2 linked regions of the Kluyveromyces lactis genome follow. The protein of the gene in region 2 binds, or shares a complex with, the protein of the main gene of each other region. Links are inferred from orthologs where the notes say so. Each region holds a gene or a part of one and is shown on either strand. Other genes may lie near its edges.

Region 1 (4,220 bases), about 1.4 Mb from region 2:
GTTTCTCCGCCTTCATTTCAGTTGGACTCATTTCTTCCATCACCAACCAAGATATAATATATAATAAAATCAAAGCTTCCGCTCTCATGAATCACAAATAAAAAAACAACAACACCAAACAATTGCAATGAGTTAGTCAATAGATTAAGTTCCACAGAAAGACAATAAAAGTCACATTTATTTCAACATTGCAAGATCGCGTTCTTTCTTTGTTTTTACATTACTGGATAATGTGTTCAGAAAACTACGGATGATATCTTCAGCGTTACACCTTACAGACTTTCAGATAACTAAAACTCTAATATTATTATATTTATGGTAGCCCATATGTAAGTTAACAAACTGATATGTACAATCCATTTATAATGAATATAATCGGGTAAGAGTTGTAGAGATGATTCAACATGGTTTGTTGAGTACTCTTATGTTTAATTAATACAATGCTACATCATGAAGAAAGTAGTCATTGTGTACATGACGATCGAATACGAATTATACAACTAACCTTCCTTGCTTAATGTTTGATATATCACATCTAAACATTCGTCAACATCAGAAACGTCAATGTCAGTTCCTTGAGATATCATTTTCCTATATTTGTAAACTTTAGAGTTGTCTGTTATCACGTCAATAATTTGATTAAGTTTTCGTTTTCGTTTTAATTGAATAAGAACTAATTCCTTCAAAAGTGCTTCTATATCTTCAGACTCCTCACCGTCAGTAGTCTTACCTTCGACATTTTTTGTTTCTTCATCAACAAACTTTCGTATCAGTTTTACTTGTCCTTCTTCTAACCTGTTGATTAGCACGCGCTTGTCTGTGGCAATTCTCCGTTGTAGTTCATCAATTTTTTCCTTCCTATCATTGAGTACTATGTCAACATTGTCAGTTTCCTTCAAATTTAAAGCTTCTAAAAGTTTCATTTCGACAGATGTTATGGTTTTCTTCATGCTCTTTACTGTCCGTTCCATCTGAAGAACTTCGTTTTGTCTTTTCTGATATGCATTCTGATAAGAGTTTGCCATTTCTTTCATCATATTTATTACCTCTGGGATAATTCTATTTGTTCTAGTTGCAGCCTGAGAAGGATACATTTTGTTGAATTCATACGGATCATCCAGCCTTTGCCCTTTTGTTATTTCATCCATCGAATAACGGCCACTAATGATTCCATTAGGTGTCATTCCGCTATTATTTTGAACGGTGGTAAGTGCGCCATTTTGGAGAAGAAGTTGATAAAACTGATCATCCTTGTTCGTTGCAGCATAGTGTAAGGGTGAATTTCCGTCATTGTCTTGTTGATTTATTAATACGTCAATCCTATATTGTGGCGTAAAGTCTTTAATTTTTGATAGTACAACGTCTAAATAATAGACTGCAGAAGGGGTATGACTCTTTCTGCTAACGATCCGGTGAATGACGTTTCTTGATTTGGCATCCAGGTCAAATACAGTATCCTTCAAAATCTCAAAGATCTGCGGATACGTCCGTTTGGTATAACAATTGTGAAAAATTGAAGATCTTATTAGTGGCGTTTCTCCTACGTTATTCAACGATCTGATGGAACTTCCTGCTTTTAGTAGTGCCTCTACAATGGGTAACGTACCCATCGCACATGCCCAATGAAAGGCTGTATGATGTTCGGGGTCAATCCACGTATCAATAAACGGCGAACAATGTAAAGGAGGATTCAAAAGCTCCATCGGTATTTCCGATTCGTTTTGGGTATCATTAGATATGAAATAATTCACCAATTTTGATAGGTATTCGTTTGCTCTTTGGTTTGAATCAGATGGTCCGTTTTGAGATGAGGAAAATTTTGGTAATATCATATTCATTGAAGTCGTACCATTTAATTGTAGGGGAGTTTGCATGTTAGATCTCGAGCCAAATGCAACACTTTGAGAGAATTCACTTGGGGAAGACGGTAAAGAGGAAGAAGAAGATACAGGCTCATCCTTTGTGTTCATTAAGTGTGTGTTATCCTCATGTTTTGTGCCCATAATAGAATTAGGTTCTACATCACTGGAAAGTCCGTCTTCGATATCTAATTCCTTAAATTGGGGAGAAGCTTGATCCAGCGGAGATTTTACATCCATAATCGGGGACAAACTAGTCGCTGATCTGCCAAACTGAGGCTGTAGACTAGGTAACTTTGTGCTCTGGATAGAAGATGATGGAATTGAAGGTTTTGGAAAAACCATCTCACTTTGTGATCTTTGTAATGTTACAGTCGCTTTATTCCGAGGAGGACGACCCCGCCTTTTTGGTGCAGAACCAGGTTGCTGCTGCTGCTGTTGAGATACAGGCTGCTGCTGTTGGGAGCTCGCTTTTTCGGATACCTTTCCAGAAGGTACAGATGCGCTTTTTGTAGCCTTTTTTCTGGTAGAGTCACTTCTGGAAGCATGGTGATGTTTAGGAGCCTGAGGCGGCGAAGCAGAGCCTTCTTGTTGTGTAAAGTCAAATAAAGGTTTAAGCTCATCTAATACTTCGAACTTCTCAGCCAACTTCGAGGCTAGCTCTAAGGGAATCCACGTACCTTGGTATTTACCGAAACCACCTTGAACCTTTTCGTGGGTATCTGTTATGACTTCTTTTTCCAATATCCTTGTCCTTTTAGCCTTTGGAAACTTTGCAGCCTTCAATATATGAGTGGCATTCACCCAATTATCTGCCTTTCTCTTCATTATTGACCCAGTCGGGTGTATAAACTCATAGACATCCACGCCAGAGTACTTCGCAGAATATATTTGATTGGATGACATGGTATTAACTTTATCCTTGTAAAAAAATTGATGCAATATCTTGCACCCGTGCTATGTGTAAGATCAAATTTGGTTCCAAAAATCGATATGATATATCTTAGTCCCCAATTCAGTTTGACAGTATGCTGGTCTTCGACTGACTATACCCCCGAAATATAGCGACTGGTAATGGCGGGTATGTCCAGTAAATGTCAGCAAACTCGAAAAAAACTCAATGAATTTCCAATCAAACCTTGTATGGATATTCAAGGTGTGAAGATCGTCTTTCTCTTGGTTTATATTTTGACTGTTTTGTACCTTTAGGTACTTATCATATGCAATATATAAACAATAACTTGCATTATTTTCGATGGTTCTTAATTCATCAACCAAAAAAAACGTACCAACTTCAACACAACAACTCAAAATGTTACCCGGACATTCAAATTAAAACGGTAACTGGATGCTCTTTGAGCGTATAAGGCTGGCTCTTGGTTGGGAGAGACAGAAAATAGTCAACATTCATATCAAACGCATTAAGCTCATAATTAAATATATTTTCTATTTAAATAGTAAGTTCGATTTTAATCTTTTCCACTTCTTTCTCAGTAAACTTCAGTTGCTCTAAGAAAAACAGTTCAAAAGAGCCGAATTTCAACAAGAATGCGTCAATGAATAGACGCATTGCTTCATATTTTGAAGATAGCACATTGGCTGCCATTTCCTTTGGAGAAACACCCCAAGCAGAAGCTATTTCATGACCGTGGGGGCCCAGAATTGTGTAGAATTTGTCACCACGTCCGGTGATTCTTTGGATTAATCTTTTCTCGGTAGTCAATCCGAGTTTAGTTAATTCATAATCGTGAGAAATGGTGTCAGCGTCAACACCCGCCAACCCTAATATCAACATACCCAAAATCCCGGTCCTATCCTTTCCAGCACTGCAATGAAAAACAATCGCATGTTTTTCATCGACGTTTCCCTCAAGTATGTATTCGAAAAAACGACGAATAACTGGGAGACTGTTCTCTAAAACAATCTCATACGCCTGAGGGAAATTGTAAGAAGACAAAAACATACCTTGATAATGTTTAGCCATTTCTTCTGGACTCAATGTCATGTTATTGTTGAACGATAGATTTTCAACTTCGAAATTCGGGATAATCCCACCTTCAGTAGCTTCATTAACAGCTCTCAGATCAAAAACTCTATTTATGAAAAGATGAGATTTCATGTAATCCAAAGCGGCGGGTGTGGCCTCATTGGGGTTTGCACAACGGTACATAATACCAGGTTTAACTTGTTTACCTGATGTAGTGACGTATCCACCAACATCTCTGAAATTGGAAATTTGTGAAAAATCATAAGGTAAGCACCAACGATTTCTGACATCTCCATGGTTCACGTTCGATTTAATCAACTTATGGGTATTGTAGAATCTTTGTAATTGGTTTTCTGGATTCAAGTATTCAAGCA
Region 2 (5,108 bases):
TCATCTCATCTCAAATTTAATTCTTTTTCAATATCAACACCGAAAACCAGAAACCAAAAAAAAAATTATGTTAGCTACAGTGGGCTTGTTGCTTTTTGTTTCGTAAGTTATGATATTTAAGATGAATCTTATAAAGGTAAAGTCTAAGTAATGGGCCGTGTGCATTTTATACGTGCACCGTATGCGTAAATAAAAGTCATTAAAAGTTAGAAGTCCTTAGCGAGACTGAGTCTTTTCCATAGAGCTTAGGTCCATCTCGATGTCATTCAACTTAGAATCGATATTGTCTATGGACATACCAATAAGTTTTCTGAACTTTGATATTTTACTATCTGAAACCAGTTGATCTCTAGCGTATTTGATATTCCTAATCATTTGTCTTCTCTTGAACTGCTTGTAACACAATTCTACCATCAATTTTATGGATTCTTTCTTTTCGAATTCATTAGTAGCTTCCGTAGATGAGTCCTTTGAGAGACAGTTTTCCTCATCCTGTACTAATGTAGCAAGTGACAGCGCTTGCGACCGCTCCATATAGTTATCCAATTCAATGTTTTTCATCTTCAGCTGATTTTGGGCGGATCCCAACGTATTTCTATTATTTGAATCGGAGAGTGCCTTTTCTCTTGCGTTGGTGTGCTTCAGTTGGTTCTCGATCTCTTGGATTTGCTCTTCTTTCAGCTGTATACTATATTGAAGATTATCAAGATTATCTTCAATTATGTTGCTCAAAGATTGAGTAAGAGAACCCAACTGAGCAGTAGACTTGATGGTTGGAGATGATGATTTTTGTTCTTTTCGTACTCTTTGAGCATCAGGTCTACGTAATCTGTTCACAGGCTTCACTAATGTTGGTGGAGATGGTGGATGCAATTTAATTGCTGGAGTTAAGGATCCTTTCATTTTATCAATTGATAAGACATCGTTACGGTCGACTATGTTGTTTTTCCTAGTTGAAGTCTGTATACTATCCACTGTGGTGTCATTGAAGTCGTATTTGCTGGTGTCATCTATACGCTCTTCTTGACTGTTTCGAGGAGTGTTCGCCAAGAAAGTTGTCTTGGGTGGAGATTGTAGAATCTGGGCAGGAAGCGTTGGTTGAAATATATTTGGAACTGTGAAACGAGACAGTATCATAGATACTGTCTGATTTTCACCGTTAAGAATATCTGGTGACGCGCCGAAATATACTAATTTCTGGCATAAATCAACGTTCTTATTGAGGGCTGCTAAATGTAAAGGGGTATTTCCCAATGTATCTTGGTGATTGAGTGACATTCGCAGCAGTTTCTCATCCTCCTTGGCAAGTGTATCCAATATAGTGTCCATATAATACTCTATGACATGAGGTTCTTTGGACCTGTTTACTGTCAGCTCGACTAGGTAGTGCAAGGGTAATCTATGATTTGCATCTGGTGTTACTAGACATGGATTTAACATAGATATTATTTGTTGGAAAGAAACGGCTTTGTAACAATTGTTGTAAAAGACTGATTTTGTCAAACAATTGAAGCCCTTATCATTACAACGGAGAAGATCTGCGTCTTGGACTAGTAGTACTCTAATCAATGGAATGTTTGACATAGCGACAGCCCAATGTAAAGACGTATGTCCTTGGTCATCGATTAAGAAGTTTATGTCCAAATTGGATGGAGGCCTATAAAGTGCTTCGGGTAGCGTAGGTTCCACGGAATCGTATTCTGAAGATAAAACCTCCAAAATGAGTTCCTTATAATATTCTGTGGACACACCGTTCTTATCATGAGCTGATGAGAGTGGAGTTGGTGATTCTGATGAGCTAGACGAAGCTTTATCGTTGGAGGAGAAAACTTCCATTGAGGATCCTGTGGATGTAACGTTTGAGATCATAGACCCAGAAGAATGCCCCATATTATTACTGCCAGCATTGCCCTGCGTCATTTGTTTTAGTATTTTCATGTTATGCTGAGATTTCATGTTAGAGTTGACTGGCACTGGAGCCACGTTGTTTGTAACAGGTACCATTTGTTGGAACTGGTGTGTTTGTGGGTATGGATAAAATTGCAAAGGTTTCTGAGTAGTTTGGTATTTGATTGGATGGTTTGCTTGAGAAATAATATCAGGATTCACCTTACTGACCGGTACCATTGGAGTATCTTGTTCAGAAGCCAAATTAGGAAGCTTTTCAGTACTTTGGTTACTATTTTGACTCTGATGATGATGTTGCTGTTGAGGTGTTTGAAACATAACATTGTGTAAGGGGGACGGTTGAACTGGTTTATCCTTTTTCCCAGATCTCCTTATAGATTTTTTCTTCATTGGGGTCTTTGCATTCTTCTTTGGTGTTTTCTTATAAGCTGATGGTGATGTAATCCTTGCATTCGGGTCCAATTTCTTGATCTGAGATACTTTTGATCTTCTAGGAGGCATATCATTTGGATCAGGAATAAATTCTACAATCCTTTTGACAACCTTATTGTTAATATTGTATTTTTCCACCAGATATTTAGTCGATTCCCAGGGTATCCAGGTCCCCTGGAATCGTCCATAACCACCCTGAATCTTTTCATGTTTAATTTCATTGGCCTCTTTCTCCAAGATCTTGGTTCTCTGAGCCTTTGTAAACGAACCGGCTTTGAAAACTTGCGTTATGTTCAACCAATTATCGTTGCATCTTCTCATGATAAGGCATGGAGGTTTATCTTTGGTATAACATTCATATACATCAACGCCCGCGTATGTAGCAACTTCAATGAAAGTTTCCGATTCGCTGTCATAACCACTTGTCTCCGCCATAGTAGGTTCCTCACTGATTTTCTTTAAACTCCCATCGATCTGCCTTTCATCGATCATCGAAGAGGATGCTCCCGTGGATGAAGAAGAATTATTGGTAGCACCACTATTAGCTCCTAATAAATTAGAATTGAACGGTTTCAAAAGTGTATCATTCTCAGAATGATGATGAGTGCCCATGTGCATTTGAAGGATAGATTCCTTGTCAAAAACGTTGCCGCTATGATGCGACAAGTGTTGTTCCATAATTACACGAAAGAAATAAATGCACACGAAATCCTAATTGTTTTAGACAAAACAAAGCAAAGAAAAGCACGCCAGAGTCAACAAAGCGTTTCGAGTCGAGTGTCACCTTCTGCTGCTGCTTCTGCTTCTGCTCCTGGCAATGTGATCTCAAGCTCGCTCACTTTGTAAAATTCAACGTAAAATATACCACGCAGTTACGGTTATTCTAGCTTTTCCACCAGTGCCCAAAAATGTATCCAGATATCGGAGTAGCAGACCAAATCAATCTCAACTGGAATGCTCTGATATTTAGCTAAGTTCACGTAGCCTACAGACACTGTTAATAACAAAGGTATACACAAATCATAAATGACATTGTAAAGTGCGTGAGAAAGTCTGCTTTCAAAAGATTATAATCTTTATTTTAAACTGTGATCAAATCTCTTTACCCAATTGGGAAAAGAAAGATTAGATGCCTCACCAAAAAAAAAATCTCAGATCTCACATTTCAAACCTCACTCCAGTGTGTTCCCATATTCAAAGCTGAGGCAACCTTTCAAAACGCCTAGAAGGGTCCGTATGACACGAAGGAGTAGGGGGGCAGAAACAGTCTTAAAAGTGAAAAAATAAGAGAAAAATCAATAATCAGATTATATTCACGTGTCAGTATTACCCGGGACACTCACGTGATTCGAAACTTTTAAGTGTTACCCGGTAAATGAATTTTATGAAATGTCGAGAATGCTTTTTCCAGCTCAATGAAATTTGGAAAAACTGAAGTTATATTGTAATTGGAATTTAAATATTGTCAATGCAATTGTATGCATTTGGTTCGTCCTACTAGGGAGTGTTACATAACTCAAACTACAGATACGCAGATAAGCAACAAAGTCTAATTCATACTTTTTTCCCTCACATTTTTCCTTCTCCAGACAGACAGAGTCCTAATTTTTTGGTATATTGTATATTGTTCCGGCCCCACCCTTTCCTACGATTAAGTTACTACGGTTTGAGATACCTAAAGAAATACGACAGCACGGGCACACTATAATTGGTAAAACAGATCAATAAGTTATAACATAAAATGCTTCCATTATATTTATTGACCAATGCAAAGGGTCAAACAATGCATGTTGAACTAAAAAATGGAGAAACTGTGGAAGGTACGCTATCTGATGTAGACAATTGGATGAACTTGACACTTTCCAATGTCACTCATGTAGCTAGTGGAGAGACTTTGAAATTACCAAGCTTCTATTTGAAAGGTTCTTTCATCAAGTATGTTAATTTGCAAGATGATATCATAGACAAGGTAAAACAACAATGGGGTCAAAACAGAGGCGGTAAAGACGATAGAAGAAGAAATAACAACTACAATAATAACAATAATTATTATCAGAATAGGGATGGTAACAGAAGAGGTGGTAGAAGAAACTATCAAAACTCAGGTAACAGAAGGGATTACAACAACAACAATAATAATAATAATAATAATAATAACAATACTCACAGCCATAACAATGCAGGATCTCGTCGTTATAATATTCAAAATAGATCACAATACGATGCATCATCCAATCCACAGCTTTCGTATTCGCAGGCGTCAAACAATAGTAATCAAACTCCACAATTTTGATTTAACCTCTTTTCTCAGCATTTAATTCTTAAGTATTTGTGTGTCTACATGGTTACATATTCAATCACTTTTATTGCGGTTAAAGAGACTATTTTGTTGGCTTGGACGGTCAAAAGTCTATAAAAACATCTGTTTCGATTGCATTCGATGCGATATCCTAAACCTTTTTCTCGTTACTCCTTTCACACTTTTGAGATTTAAAACTGAATTTGGGTTATGAAATTAAAAGAACTACCTATTAATTATGATTCAGAGTTAGTGAACCTTAAGTTCAAAGCAGTATATCAGTGCTTTATATATTAAGAGTATGTGAGCATGGGTACCGTGGAAAAGATCAAATGTTGTTATTTTTTAAATTACTCTATACAAAAATGCTTGGTTTAGAAAGTCCATGCTAGATATGCAGTATTATATAGGAGAAATATGAGACTCCTGAAGAGAGCCGGACTTTTTTTTTTTGGCCTCACTTTAAATA

Evidence for each region. The genes of interacting proteins can lie anywhere in the genome.
Region 1: SWI4 (region 2) and MBP1 share a complex: the UniProt entries of both Saccharomyces cerevisiae proteins name them as parts of the transcription complex. The link is inferred for Kluyveromyces lactis from reciprocal best matches to the Saccharomyces cerevisiae genes SWI4 and MBP1.

What each region holds. Positions count from the first base shown.
Region 1 is NC_006041.1:484,464-488,683, reverse strand, and holds MBP1 (transcription factor MBP1), read right to left. Parts: upstream 2,766-4,220; coding exon 501-2,765; downstream 1-500. Other genes in the region: KLLA0_E05391g (uncharacterized protein), read right to left, coding at 3,310-4,220. UniProt on the Saccharomyces cerevisiae protein: Binds to MCB elements (Mlu I cell cycle box) found in the promoter of most DNA synthesis genes. Transcriptional activation by MBF has an important role in the transition from G1 to S phase.
Region 2 is NC_006041.1:1,852,306-1,857,413, forward strand, and holds SWI4 (SBF complex DNA-binding subunit SWI4), read right to left. Parts: upstream 3,019-5,108; coding exon 217-3,018; downstream 1-216. Other genes in the region: U6 snRNA complex subunit LSM4, read left to right, coding at 4,082-4,633. UniProt on the Saccharomyces cerevisiae protein: Part of a complex involved in cell-cycle-dependent transcription. SWI4 and SWI6 are required for formation of the cell-cycle box factor-DNA complex. The repeated element in the upstream region of HO (5'-CACGAAAA-3') is called the cell cycle box (CCB).